3 linked regions of the Caenorhabditis elegans genome follow. The protein of the gene in region 1 interacts with the protein of each later gene in a pairwise test. Each region holds a gene or a part of one and is shown in the gene's direction. Other genes may lie near its edges.

Region 1 (5,293 bases):
CCAAAAAATGGTTTTCCTACATTTTTTATACTGTAATTTTGTTTTAATTATTTGTATCAAAACATTGTAGGGGTTGGAACATGCGACATTGCTTTGGATTTCCTTAGCATCTATAAATTCCGAAATAATGTTGCCTCTATTTTCGAAACCACCCTTCAAAAGGCCTTTTTCTTCATTGCCTATGCAAATTTGTGCTTCTGAAAATAACATAGGCTTGTACTCACTCTGAAAACATCATAAATTATAAAGATTCTTGAACTCTTACCGTACATCTTTTTTAAGTTTGTGTCTCTGCAGGAAATCTTTATTTTCCGATTCATAAAAGAGTACTGTAATTTTGATAAACTCCCTTTCAATGAAAAACTCCCATTTTTGTAGTAGTACTTTTTTATCATTTTCGACTTGTCACAGAAAAAGAAGTCAATTGAAGTGGAAGGAGCAAGAAGAAAAGGTCCGTTTGTGTAATTGAAACAACCTACTTGTCTCATATGTTATGCAACACGTGTTGTCGTTTTTGTCAATTATTAGTAAAGAAAATAAGTCGGTCGGAAAAATGGAAATTAGTTTGCACCCTGCCATTTTTTCCTTCTTCTTTTCCTCACTCCCCCACAGACTCCCGCCTCCCTTCCTCATTCACAATAATTTCTTCGTGTTTCCAGTAATAACCGCTAGGGGTGAACGAAGAAAAAGAAGAAACACACGTTTAAGCCTTGAAAGCTGAAGCTGCTTCAGGCTCCGCCTTTTAAAGGAAGGAAGCAGGAGGAGTTGCATTATGCATCAGGCTTGATCTTGTTCGGCGAAAATTTCTAGTTATGAGTCATTTTCACTTTCTTTTCGGAGAAGACATTGATTATAGATGTCACATTTTTCTAGACATCATTTTTATAATTTCTAGGTTCTATGTTTTTGTTTAGTTGGAGGATCCTTGTTTTTCCGTGTTCTTCAGATAATAGGCTATTTTTAAGAGTTTTCTTGAATTTTTAAGCTATATTATTTTTGAAAACTCACGACTTAAATATTGCGATCTCAGAATCCTTGTGTGCCTTCCGGAAATCGCATCAAAATTGAACATAATTTTTCATATTTAATACGTAACTGCTATTTCTAAGAGAGAAGGCTCGCTGACATTAATGTTTAAAATGGTGTATTTTCTTTCAAATCGGCTCCATGAATTTGTGAATTTTGTTGTCAGCTCTAACTAGGGTACTCTGTGAATTTAAGTGGAATCGAGTGTATGAAAACCTTGAAAATGTTTTCAAATTTATTAACAATACGGAGTGGGAGCTACAACGGTAGGGTGTCGTTGCGGAGTTCCCCGTGCTGAAAATTTTGAAATTTCCATTTTATGATGGTTTTTTTTCTTTTCAAAATTTTCTTCTGATCATATTAGTGACCCAATTTCCTTGTCAATCTCAATGAATCCTCATTAATATTCGTTTCCTGTTTTTTCTCCAATCTCTCATTTCACCCCAACGACTTGGCTATATATTTTTGTTCTCCTCTTCTGGAATTTTTGAAAATTTTAATTTAAAAATTTTAAATATTTACAGAAATCAAAATGGAGGGTGGTCGAAACTGTGTAATGACAGTACAACAGTGGCAACCTGAATACAATGATATGAACCAGATAAGAGCAATATTCTCGTTACTGTACCTTCTTGTTTGGGTTGGAGCTATTGTTGGCAACACTCTAGTACTTTATGTACTCACTTTTAATCAGGTATTTTTTGTTGAGAAAAATCGACTTTGTTCTCGAGTTTATATGAGAAAAAGTGTTATTTTGTTGAAAAACCTTGGTTATAATTTCTAAAAAAAAATTTTAAATTAAAATTTGTACCATTCCGGAATTTTTTTTTTGAAACAATCAGAATACTACATAGAATTTTTTTTTTCAAAAAATACGAGCGGTTCCCCCTTTTAAGAGGATTTTTGAGGACTTCAACTTTCAGTTTTGAAAGTTCTTAGGCTTCATTAAAATCTTCCGTATCTCTCTTCTCGCATTCAATTCAAAAAAATTGTTTTTGATACTACCATCATCTCAAATTTCCGGTATTTTATTCATCGAATTTCCTAGTGAATCAAGAATCTTTCATACATGATTGAAAGTACAATTACCGAACCACCTCCAGAATTCGTCATTGAGCTCAAAGTGCCCGAAAAGAGTTCATTAAGCTAATTTGCCAACTTCAGGTATCACTGTCAGTTAGGACGGTATTTGTTGGATGTCTAGCTGGTTCAGACCTTCTAATGTGCCTTTTCTCGTTGCCAATTACCGCGATTTCTATATTTTCAAGAGTTTGGGTATTTCCTGCTATATTTTGCAAGTTGATCGGAGTTTTCCAGGTGAGATTTGTATAAGATTTTCAGGATTTATAAATAAATGTCTAGACTCTGAAATACTGTGTATTAATCAGAATAACAGGAGCGAACAGAAATTTGAATTAAAATCAGAAACTTTTCAGGGCGGTACGATTTTTGTCTCATCATTCACATTAACAGTTATTGCTCTGGACAGATGTGTACTAATTCTACGTCCAAATCAGGAGGTAGGCTCTCCCCAAAAAACAGTCCAGAAGTTCTGCAGTAAACTTTTCTGAGCAGATAAAAATTGATGTGGTTTGGAGCCTTCTTTTTCTATGCCTCTTTTCATTATTTTTTCCATGTATTATTGTCGAGAATGTCTTCCAAGTAAAAATCTTCTATGTATTTCTTTGTGTGTTTAAGTACAATATTAATGGAAACTTGTTCTTCTTCAGAATATGATCTTCTGAAAGGCGGGAAAAATAATTAGACTGGTCATTTTATTTTGATCCTTGGACAATCAAGGACTTCAACTTTCCCGTTTTGTAGTCGTTTTTTCAATCGGGAAACTGTGTTAACCTACCTTCCTGTCTTCAAGGCGACCTACGCCTACCCGTTAAAAGCCTTATACCAGGCCGACCGGGGCGTAAGCTTGAAGAAAGGTGATTCTCTAACATGATAACATCCTTTTCATGGCGATCTAAATACCCTTGATACAATTTGATTTTAATTTAAAAATTGCGTTTAAAATAAAATTTTTAATTTAATAATCTATATAATTTGTCTAAATTTTTAAATTGCAGATAGTAAATTTCCCGAGAGCTGTCTTCATTGTTTTCTGCATTTGGCTTCTCGGATACTCTCTAGCACTTCCTGTAGGCATCTACAGCGACATTGCAGTATACGACGAAATTTGCGGCACATTCTGTGAAGAGAATTGGTGCGTCATTTGTCTCATTGATTTGACCAATTATCTTGCATTATTTCTTTTTCACTTCCCATAATTATCCCAATTATTTTCATATATGTTTTCTTGCTCTTCTGTTCTTTAAAAAACGTTAATCACATTTTCAGGCCTGATTTCAATCCGGATACTGGAAGATCGGGAATTCGAAGAGCTTATGGACTTTCTGTGTTGGTACTTCAATTTGGTATTCCTGCATTGATAAGTTCAATTTGTTACTGGATGATTAGTCGAGTGATGTCAGATCAATTAGCAAGAAGAAGAGGGCACAATATTCGACCGGAATCTGAAACAAAGCTGGTGAATCGAAAGACAAGAGCTAATCGGTTTGTTTTCCAAAACTTTCTTTTTTTTTTAAGAAAAAATTATAAATTTTAAAGTGAATCATTTGTCAGAAAATGGACAAAATTCCAAAACTTAAGAAATTTTTCCTTGAAAGATTTGTGCAATTCAGTTTCTCAAGAAAAAAAAGAGTTGATTCACTTCAAAAATTCCGTGTTACCATCCAAACAAATTTACTCAAAAATTTCCCAAAACCCTACTCGACCCAATTTTTTTAACGAAGTTTTCATAATTTTTAGATGATCTGATTTTAATTCGTTTGTAATATATTATTAATTCTGCATCAATTGAATACATTTTCAACATTCGAATCGGCACGTTTCTGCAATCCCCAAACCTGAATTATTAAGCTCTCTCTGTTATTTTTTGTTGCAAATTTTGTACCCCGTTGCAAAAGACACAAATAGTCATTTGTATTAGCATGTCAAACCTTGCATAATTTGACAAAAACCAGGAACTCCTAAGGGAAATAAAATACGAAGCAAAAAAAAATAAAACAAACAAAAGAGACTACATTCTTTTTTTGTATTCACTGCAGTATGCATGACTGATGATTATGATGGTGACTATGTATGATCATTTTTCCAAAAGAAACAAAATCTGGAGAATTCCAGGAATTTCTTCAAATTATTTTTCTAATTTCAGAATGATGATCGTAATGGTTGTTGGATTCGTTCTCGCGTGGATGCCATTCAATGCAGTCAATCTCTACCGTGACCTATTTGGAATTTCTAAATGGTATTCTACAGTCTTTGCGCTTTGCCACGTATGCGCAATGTGCTCCGCTGTGCTCAACCCAATCATCTATTCCTGGTTCAATCCTCAATTCCGACAAAGTATCACCACTTTGTTCAAGGGTACTGATGAAGCTAGATTGATCAAGAAGAAACCACAATCTACCAGTAAAATGGTTTCGTATCCGACTAATTTCTCCGAGGTTCGTTTGCTTAAAAAAATAAAGTATATGTAAATTCAACTTCAGATCCGAAAAGAAACAGAAATTGCATCGACAAAGACAAAAATCACAATTGCTGAAAACGACTATCGAGCTGGAGATCAACTTTTATAAACGAACTGATTAACAATTTTAGAAACTAATCTGTGATGATTCTACCGGGTTGTTAGATAAAAAGCTTTAATAAATTGTATTTGTTCTAAAAAATATTGTTTGACAAACAAGTAGTCTCTGAAAATTGTCATTTGCCAAAAAAACCTGTTAAAATGATTTCGACAAAATACAACTTTCAGCTTGTTTTTCACATTCTTGTTGACAATTTCAAAAAAAAGGAAAATTAATTCCGAATTAATCGGATTTTTTCTATAATTTCAAACTCTTCTAGATTAATATTTGATGCACTGGGTGCCCCCGTCACGCCTCGCTGGAAATGTCTAATGTAGATAACCGTAACCGGCAATATTATAATTTGTCCAAACGTTTTGCTGCACACCTCTAATGCCCATTTCCATTCCTAATTCAGTGAATACAACTTTTGTTACAAACTACCAAAGATTTATACTAGAAAAAGGCAAATACTCAAAAAAAGTTCGAAGCAATCTTCTTCTTCTTTCTACTTCTTCTTTTCGTGAAGCTCAATTTCCTCCGAATCCGTCGTCATCTTCTTCTTATCCTCATTTCCAGGTGTCAACGCATTACTTGGTGTTAATGATGAGGCTGGAGTCGTAGAA
Region 2 (5,666 bases), on another chromosome or scaffold:
TTTCTTTAGTTTTGTTTGGTTTTTTTAAGTTTTTATTAGACCCGGAAGGTGTCGGCTGCTTTTTCTAAGCAATTAGGAAAATTATGTGAAAGTTGAAAATTTTTTGAGTATTTATTCCAAAATATTTAGTAATTTATTTCAACCCGGCAGGTGTCCGCCGCTGTTTTCACAAGTTTATACAAAAGAAAAAACGCCATTTAGCAGCTAAAAGTATAAAGTTTAAACAATTTTGGCAAATTTTTGGGGTTGATGCACCATGTTATTAAACAATTTTGCAATTTTCCTCTTCCCGGCAAATGGCGGCTGTTTGATCTACCAATTTTTGGTGAAAATCTTTTTTTTAATCGATGCACCATGTTTTGTACGTCTTCTAGTTTGTTAAAGAGATTTTGTCATTTAAATTGCCCCGGCAAATGTCGGATGCTTGAGCTACTAATTTTTGAGGTAGTGTGATCATTTAAGCAGCAAAAATTTATAGTGTTTAGGCTTTTTAATTTGTTGAAAAAATTTGCCACAAAAACTCAACCGGCAGGTGTCGGCTGCTTATTAATTTGGTTTTAATGAATTTTTTTTGCAATTTATGCCATTTTTCATTGTCGATTCACCTTGTTTTGTAGGCTTTTTAGTTTATTAAAGAAGTTTGCCACAAAAATTTACCTGGCAAGTGTCGGATGCTAGATTTATCTTTTTTGCAAATTTTTGGAATTATTGCAATTTTCATTGTTGGTGCACTATGTTTTGTAGGCTTTTTCAGTTTTTCAAGCCATTTTTTTTCAAAAAAAAAAATTACCAAGCAGGTGTCGGCCGCTTATCAAGCCGGTTTTAGGCAAATTTTTGAAATTTTAGTTAATTTTTCCTGTCGATGCAACATGTTTTGTAGGCTTTTTAGTTTATTGAAAAAAAATTTTGTTACAAAAACCCAACCGGCAGGTGTCGGCTGCTGCTATGCAAATTTCTAGAAAATTTATTCAATTTTTGCTTTCGATGCACCATGCTTATTTTCCGGCCTTTTTTATATTATAATTTTTGTTGTATAGATTTTGTCATCTACTTCAATTTTGGCAACAAATTCCCCTTTGTCGGCACTTCTTTGCAGTGTTCAATTCAGTGTGTCGCCTCTTTGAAGTTGACCGCCTTTTCCCGCCAAAAAGTTAAGGATTTTAGGGAATTAAGTTTATCGGTTTGGTGCATGTGTGGTCGAGAATCAAAAAGAGGGGCGGCGGCATTTTTCCTTTGATCTCTATTTCTTTTTGTCGGTTGTCCAGATGGGGCGGAAGATGAAGCCCTCCCCCGCTACAGACAGTAGTGTGGAGAGTTCCCTTTTTTGGTGAAAATTCTGAATTTTTGGGTTTTTAGGGTGCTTTCTGTAAATTTCCCAAAATCTCACAATTTCCGTGATTTTATATAGAGCAGCCGACATTTTTCGGGTGGATTCAATCATAAATTGAAATTTTTTGCTCTCGATGCACCATGTTTTCAGGCTCAGATTTACCTGTGAAGAGTCGGCTGCTCATTTCACCGATTTTTAGGAATTTGATGCGCCATGTTTCAAATGAGCTTCCCAGGATTTTTTTAGGCTTTTGTGCTTTTAAAATATTTTCTCTAAAAATTCAATAATGTTCCAATTTTCTTCACATTTTTTTTTCAGAAAACAATATGCTGGCATTTTTATACTTTGTGCAAATGTTGATAAATTTCCCAAAAATGATGGTTATCAGCTGGAATAATATGGTAATTCCTTTTTTGCACCAAAAAAATCAAAAATCAATAATTCCCCAGATTTCATTTCAAAAATTGCCATCATCTGCGCCTTTAAACTTCCGGGTGACTACCGTATACCAGCAAAATCCGGAGCTTTGGATGACTCCTGCTGACGTCATCAGGAGTACTGTAGCAGTAAATGCGTCGGTTTGCCACTTGACAATGTCAAAGTCAACGTGGCTGACGTGGAAAGTCGGAGATCGGGTGGTGGAGACGAGGGATTGCAATCAAGTGATAAGGCTTAGTAGTAGTGAGGTGGGTATCGAGAAAAGCGCCAAGGCACGAGAAATGCGGCAAGAAACCAGAAATGCGCCAATACACGGGAAATGCGACAACTCACGAGAAATGCGCCAAGGCACGAGAAATGCGCCAATGCACGAGAATTGTGCCAAGGCACTATACTGACGACAGGGCACAAGAAATGCGCCAAGGCACCAGAAATGCGCCAATGCACGAGAAATGCGCCATGGCACAAGAAATGCGTCAAGGCACGAAAAATGCGCCAAGGCATCAGAAATGCGCCAAGAAACGAGAATTGCGCCAAGGCACGAAAAATGCGCCAAAGCACGAGAAATGCGCCAAGTCACTAGAACTGCGTCAAGGCACCAGAAATGTGCCAACGCACGAGAATTGCGCCAAGGCTCAAGAAATGCGCCAACGCACGAGAAATGCGCCATAACGCCAAATTTGCGTCGAGATATGCATGCAAATTTCACTCAAAAAATGTTAGAGCTCTAGGACCAGTTTCAAGAAAGATACGAGGCTTTCAAGTTGAACAGGAGACCGCGACGCGACACGCGCCGCGCCTGAAAACTTTGCATGACTGTAACTTTGCTCCCAGTCGTCCTAGAAGTCTGAAATTTTTTGTGTGAAGTTTTGTGAGAAGCTGGCTTCTAATGAACAACAAAGTTTAAAAATTACTAGGGAGACCGCGACGCGACCGCGACGCAACCACCAAACTTTAGGTGGCTGTAACTTTGCTCTTAATGCTCCAAAAACTCCAAAACTTTCAGACTATCATTTCCGTCACCTTATCAACACCTTTCAAAACTCAAAAGTTCCTATCAGAATTGATAAGTCCTCCAGCCAAGCCGTATTGGCTAGCAGCAATCGGTGATTCTTACTCCTCTGGTCAAGGAAATCCGGACATTCCAATGACACATGGCTCACCCGCTAAATGGTTAGATGGTAGGTACAGTACCCCATTTCTACAGTAACCCAACATATTTTTCAGATTCGTGTTACAGATCTTCCAAAGCATTTCCATACTTAGTTTCTCAAAAAATCAAAAATGTGACGTCATCTCTTTCATTTTTATCATGTTCTGGGAGTACGGTAGATCATGGAATCTTGTCGAAAAATGGACAAATGGAGAGGTTGGAGCAGATGATTTTGGCTCGCGGAGCCCCGCCAGATGTGCTTTTTCTGACTGTTGGGGGCAATGATATCGGGTTTACGGATGTGATTTCAATGATTCAACGGGATAAATTGAATGAGAAATTTTTTGATATGAGGTTTGAAATTTTTTATATTTTTACATTTTCTGCCTAAAATATTATAAGAAAATGAAGCTATTTTTGCTCGAACTACCCTGAAAATTTTAGCCAAATCTGTCAATTCTCCACCAAGTTATAACGGTATGAAGGTAGTGGCCTAGTATTGGATTTCTAGGCCACCAACTTAAAACCACTGTAACTCTGTTGAAATTTGAGGGATTTGGCTGAAATTTTATGAGCAAAATTCTTTAAATTCAATGTTTTAATCAAAATATTTATTTATAAAAAATGAAAAAATTTTCTGAGAAAATCAAAATTAAAAAAAAAAAGTTTTTTTTTCAATTTTTAAAAATTGTTTGATTGGACAAAAATTCACAAATTTGACGCCATTTTTGCTCAAAGTACTCTGAAAATTTGAGCCAAATCCGTCAATTTAGCACCAAGTTATGACGGTTTGAAGTTGGTGGCCTAGGTTTGGATTTCTAGGCCACCAACTTGATATCAATGTAGCTCGGTTGAAAATTGACGGATTTAGATAAGATTTTTTGACAAAATTAGTTGGACGACGGACTATTTGAAAACAAAATTTTATTTTGGAAAAAAAATTGTTTTTTATTTTTCTGAAAATTTTAAAAATTTTAAAGCATTTTTTGAAAAAAAATTTTTTTTTGAAAATTGATTTTTTAATTGATTTTTTAAATTTCATACAGTATTACATCTATTCCAGATTCTTTTTCGTATCTCATCAAATCGATCGGGTTGCAAGACGTCTTGAGGAGCTTAATATTACACGCGTAGTTATTCTTGACTACTATGACGTCACCAGAAATGAGAAGGGAGTGGTGGACGGGTCTTGCGGCGCTTTTGGACAGGCATGGTTGTTTTAAGTGAAAATTAAGAAAAATCGATATTTATTGATTTTCATTGAGAAAAATTATTTTTAATTTTATTAATTTTTTTGATAATATTTTTTAACGAAAAATTTTCCAAAAAGCTCTGCCGGATTACTGTATTTTTTTTCTCTTTCCAGGTCTCCCTACCAAATCTCCAGCTCGCCGAGCGCAAAATCTTCCAAAAACTCAATAACCTACTGCGACGGAAAGCAAAGCAACATGGCTGGGTTACCGTAGACACTACGGAAATATTCAGGACACGTGGCATTTGTTCAAAGGATTCGTTGATACGGTAGGTACAGTAACCCGGAGTACTGTACTCCAATTTTTTTGAAAATAGTTTGACTGTTTCTGTCTCATCAAGAGCGTTCAAATGACACCCCACATGACTAAGTTCCGATAACTTTGAATATTGACACAGCTGAAGTTGGTGCTACAGTAACCCTCGTGGCGAGACCCAAAATATGAAAAATTGCTAGAACCCAGGCATGATGGGTGTTATTTTAAAGGTCTCGGTGAAACAAATTCAATGACATTGGTTTCAGCTTGCTCAGGTTACAGTAGGTCAGGTTACTGTAGATTTTCGTGGTGGGACCCAACATTTTCTTGAAACAATTTTTTTTGGTTAAAAAATAGTCTTGATGGGTGTTATTTTAAAGGTCTAAATGAGCTGAATTCGAATTTTTTAATTAAATTGTGTGAAAACCAACAGTTTTTCAATTTTTCCGCCGGAACTTCTCTAAATTGTCGTATTTCAGGTCCCGTAACGAAAGTATGCGTCTCCAGGGCAACGAGTACGGCAGCTTCCATCCAAATGAAGATGCTCATGTAATAATTGCAGAGAAAATATTGAAATTGGATAATTTGGGTTTTTAAGAGTTTTTTTTTTTTTTTGGAAAAAAATTTTGAAAAAATTGATCTCCTGTAAATTTGATCTCTGAATTTTTATTTTTATTTTTATTTTAATCAATAAACAAAATTTATTAATAAATAAATAGTTTCTTGCAAAAAACTTAAAGCTTGGAATAGTGCCTAAAACAAAAAAAAAATCATTAAATTAAAAAAAATTAAAATTTCGGGAAAAAAAATTTTTTCAAAAAATTTTAAAAAATCAATCACAAAACTGCTCGCACTCTTCCCGGGTTCTTGGATGTGCAACATTTTGCTCTTTCTGAAATAAAAAAATAATTCATCGATTTTTCAAAAATCCCGCCAAAAAATCACTCACCAAACAATACCCATATGGGAAACTTTGGCAGACCCCGCCCACTTTTTCCCATCGATACACAAATTGGGATGAAGCACCGGAAGAGCACAAGAGACGATATGCGGTTGCTGAGCAGCTTACAGATTCTGGAAATATTGATTTTGAACGATTTGGCGGGAGTTTGAAATTTTGGGAAAAAATTCGAAATTTTTTTTCAAATTTCTAAAGTTTGTAACTTTTTTCGTTTTTGATATTTTTGAATTCGGTAAAAACCAATTAATAACACAAAAATTGACCTACAAATTCGTA
Region 3 (3,368 bases), 4.9 Mb from region 1:
ATTGTTCTACTGTTTTAGGTAGTTTAGAAATAAAGGAAATTCCTAATGTTAACGTTCCTATAGAAATCCGAGTCTGTTTTTTTAAATTATTTCGTAACAGTCTTAATAAAATAGATCGTAATGGCTAAGTATAACTGTAAGAAATGTAAAAAAAAATTCAAAAAGTAAATAAAATATTTTTCAATTCCCGCGCAACTGTGGTTTAAAATTAACAACATTTTACAAAAAATGTTGACTGCAAAATTATTGAAAAAAACCCGTTAATCCAGTAGGAATTTGAAAATAGTTTGGTTTTTTTTTGAATTTTTGTATGCAAAACTTTAAGGAAAAATCTTTAGATCCATTATTTTTTTTAGAGTTAATACGTTTTTTTTCTATATTTCTGCAACAGTAAAAATTTCAAATTCAATTTTTAGAAATCTATCAATTTAAAAAAAAATAATCGTTCCGAGTTTGGTTGCAGAAAAGTTTGACTATTACGAACTATACTATACCAAATTTATATTACACTTGTATAAGAAAAAGAGGAATATTGTTTCATTAAGTACTCAATCTTAGAAAATAGTTTATTGAAACAGTGAAAACATTTTCCACTAAATTTTATTTTTATTCCCGGTCCCTCTGTGTTCTCCCATTCGCCCAATATTTTATTTCAAAGAGCCTCTTTTCCCTCCCACACATTTCCATTTCAGGGGACCCCCTATCTTCAATTTTGCCCAAAATTCGTACTAGTCGTTTCTGCTTTTGTGGACCCCCTAGAAGGGTGCAAAAGTGAAAATGCGCGCAGCTGTTCGATGCAGGAAAAGCTCAACTTCTTAGGGGCTCATCAACTGCTGCTCGCCCCCTCGGGGGCAAAAATTGATACAGCTGCTCCGGGCGGGTATGGGCAGTAATTGGGTTTTGTAAGAGTACAGGTGGAATCTGTGAGAAAATTTGAAGAAAAAAAATTACTGTTTCAAAATCCTTATGTTTTGAAACTTTTTGAAAGCACTTTTAATGCACATTTCAGATCTTGATGAATCAGAGAAAACCATTTAATCCAAAGAAAATATACTGTTTCAACGAATCTGTATAGTAAAATAATGAGTACCGGGTGATGATGTTCTTTCTCTTCAAATTAATACTTTACACTTACAAGAACAATAAGTACTGGAAACAACTTTTTTCAAAAATTTAATGAACATTTTGAAATAGTGGAATGATTTTTTTAAAATTTAATTGTTTGAAAAAAATTATAAGCTGTTTTAACACATTTTCATATGAAAATGACGCAGTTTTAATGAATTATTTAGTTTTCGTAAAATTAAATTTCAAACAAAACATTTTTGCTGTTTCATATTATCTTTAAAAAAAAACTATTCCATTTTGAACGATGTTATGTCGATAGGCTTTTTCAATTTTTTCAAACTATTATAACTTTAAATACAGTTTTGAAACTTTAATAATTGAAAACAAAACTGGAAGTATTTGACATTTTTCGTGAACTTTTGAAAAAAAAATATTGTTTCAGAATATTGTTAAGAAATGTGTTCTATTTTGGATGATAGTAGATCTACCGGAGTTTTGAAAACAAAGTTAAACATTTCTTTTTCTCAAAATAATTTAAAAAAAAAACGTAAAAAGTAATGTTTCATCTTGGAGTATTGAAAAGGGTACTCAAAAAATTCCAAACAATTCCCCCGTTTACCTCCCGCTCCTCTAGACCCCGCCAACCCACATTTCTCAGCGGTCTCGTGGTGTAGTGGTTATCACATCTGTCTAACACACAGAAGGTCGGTGGTTCGAGCCCGCCCGAGATCAGTCTTCTTTTTTTCGTTGTTGTTGTGTTATACCGTTGTAAAATGTCTCCCAGTCTATCTATCGGCATTTTCCCTCTCTCCACCCTTTTATCTTCTTCCCCCCACCCGTACTCGCGCGCACCTGTGGTAGGCGTGGCCTGGACAGCAGCTGGGTGTACACAGATACACCCCGCCTCCTCCCTCCAACTGGACCTCCATTCTCATTCTGACTCTTCACAGACCGCTATTCAACTACTCGTCTCCTTTTCCTAAAAATGAAGAATATTTCTGCTCGTCCACAACGTGACACCATCTCCCACGTTTCACCAAAATCAAGGAAAATTCGAAAATCCACGTCAGCAGAGAGAAGAGAAAAGGAAAAAGTTGGTGATTTTTTATAAGTTTGAATAAAAATTTAAAAAAAAATCTGTATTTGAAACTGAAAAATCCAAATATCATCATCATTAGTTATATATAAAAAAATATCGTACGTCCGTCTCCTTTGTAGTTTGTAGTCTGGTGTCTAAATATTTTTTTTTGGTTTTACGACGAATTATTAAAAATACAACATTTGAAATGTTACATTTTTTTTCTGAAACAGAAATTTTTTTTCAAAATATAAAAATTCCACTTTTTTTCTAATTTTTCAAATTTCCAGGTAACAAACCGACTCCGACAATTGGTTGCCGCCGAGGAAGACACTGACCAATACGAGCTCGTCATGGCCACCATCGCCCACATCCGAGAGCTCCAGGCTCAGCTCAACGGGAAAGAAAACTCGCTGCCACGTGGCTTTGAACAATTCTTCACCTCCTCCGCCTCAGTGAGCCCACTCTCGTCGAGACCCGAATCACCGGAATCTTCTGTGGAATCATCATCGCCGAGGTCAACTGCATAGAAATGTTTAGACATTAGTGTTTTAGTTGTTATTTTGTAATTTTTCACAAAAATTTACATTTTTTGTGAACTTTTTTTTGTCAATTTTCATGTCGGGTACTTATATTTATTCATTCTGTACATAATTCTTTGAAAAAAACACTAAAAAACTATATAATAAATCTTAAAAAAGACCTTGAATCATTTATTTCTGTGAAAAAAAACGATGAGTGAAGAAATGAAAAGTGTGATAATTAATGGACATTGAGAAAGTGAAACTTTTTTTTTCCAATAGTTGCAAAAAAATTTTTTAGTGTCTAGCTTGTTAGGATTTGCATTAAGCAGACAATTGAGTTTAGAAATAACTGACAAAACGTTAGGAAAATTGTGAAACCTTTTGAAAAAATATTCAAAACTATGAAATTTCATTGAAACAGTAAAATTTTTAAATTATCAAAATTTGACATTTTTTGGAAACTGAAGCGAATTTGAGAAAAATCTGCCGAAAAAAATATGGGCAACAAAAAATAGTTACTTGCTCCCAAAAAAAACCGCATACTAGTCAGTTCAAAAAATTCTATATTGAAAATATTTTTTTGAAACAGTAATTGTTTTAAATTGAATTTTAAAATTAAACTTGCAATTTGTAGGGAATCACCAGAAGAACATTTATTCCAATAAGACGGAGTTTCTGAAAACCGCTGTTTTGAACTT

The links.
Region 2: the proteins of npr-3 (region 1) and Y39B6A.7 interact in a two-hybrid assay, tested with the Caenorhabditis elegans proteins (one large-scale study listed by BioGRID).
Region 3: the proteins of npr-3 (region 1) and spig-12 interact in a two-hybrid assay, tested with the Caenorhabditis elegans proteins (one large-scale study listed by BioGRID).

What each region holds. Positions count from the first base shown.
Region 1 is NC_003282.8:11,458,434-11,463,726, forward strand, and holds npr-3 (Neuropeptide receptor 3), read left to right. Parts: upstream 1-1,550; 5' UTR 1,551-1,558; coding exon 1,559-1,720; intron 1,721-2,190; coding exon 2,191-2,343; intron 2,344-2,462; coding exon 2,463-2,546; intron 2,547-3,104; coding exon 3,105-3,241; intron 3,242-3,375; coding exon 3,376-3,591; intron 3,592-4,252; coding exon 4,253-4,544; intron 4,545-4,589; coding exon 4,590-4,676; 3' UTR 4,677-4,766; downstream 4,767-5,293. Other genes in the region: C10C6.3 (PH-15 domain-containing protein), read right to left, coding at 5,176-5,293. UniProt on the Caenorhabditis elegans protein: G-protein coupled receptor for flp-15 neuropeptides. Receptor activation assays suggest binding to predicted flp-15 peptides, GGPQGPLRF-NH2 and RGPSGPLRF-NH2. Likely involved in Gi/Go-coupled signaling pathways.
Region 2 is NC_003283.11:19,145,138-19,150,803, reverse strand, and holds Y39B6A.7 (SGNH hydrolase-type esterase domain-containing protein), read left to right. Parts: upstream 1-1,646; 5' UTR 1,647-1,656; coding exon 1,657-1,731; intron 1,732-1,779; coding exon 1,780-2,016; intron 2,017-2,188; exon of another isoform or gene 2,189-2,353; intron 2,354-2,774; coding exon 2,775-2,949; intron 2,950-2,995; coding exon 2,996-3,275; intron 3,276-3,410; exon of another isoform or gene 3,411-3,483; intron 3,484-3,675; exon of another isoform or gene 3,676-3,753; intron 3,754-3,984; coding exon 3,985-4,129; intron 4,130-4,287; coding exon 4,288-4,442; intron 4,443-4,908; coding exon 4,909-5,026; 3' UTR 5,027-5,151; downstream 5,152-5,666. Other genes in the region: cpg-23 (BPTI/Kunitz inhibitor domain-containing protein), read right to left, coding at 5,262-5,321, 5,379-5,503.
Region 3 is NC_003282.8:16,380,863-16,384,230, reverse strand, and holds spig-12 (BHLH domain-containing protein), read left to right. Parts: upstream 1-2,015; 5' UTR 2,016-2,053; coding exon 2,054-2,161; intron 2,162-2,310; exon of another isoform or gene 2,311-2,334; intron 2,335-2,436; coding exon 2,437-2,676; 3' UTR 2,677-2,853; downstream 2,854-3,368.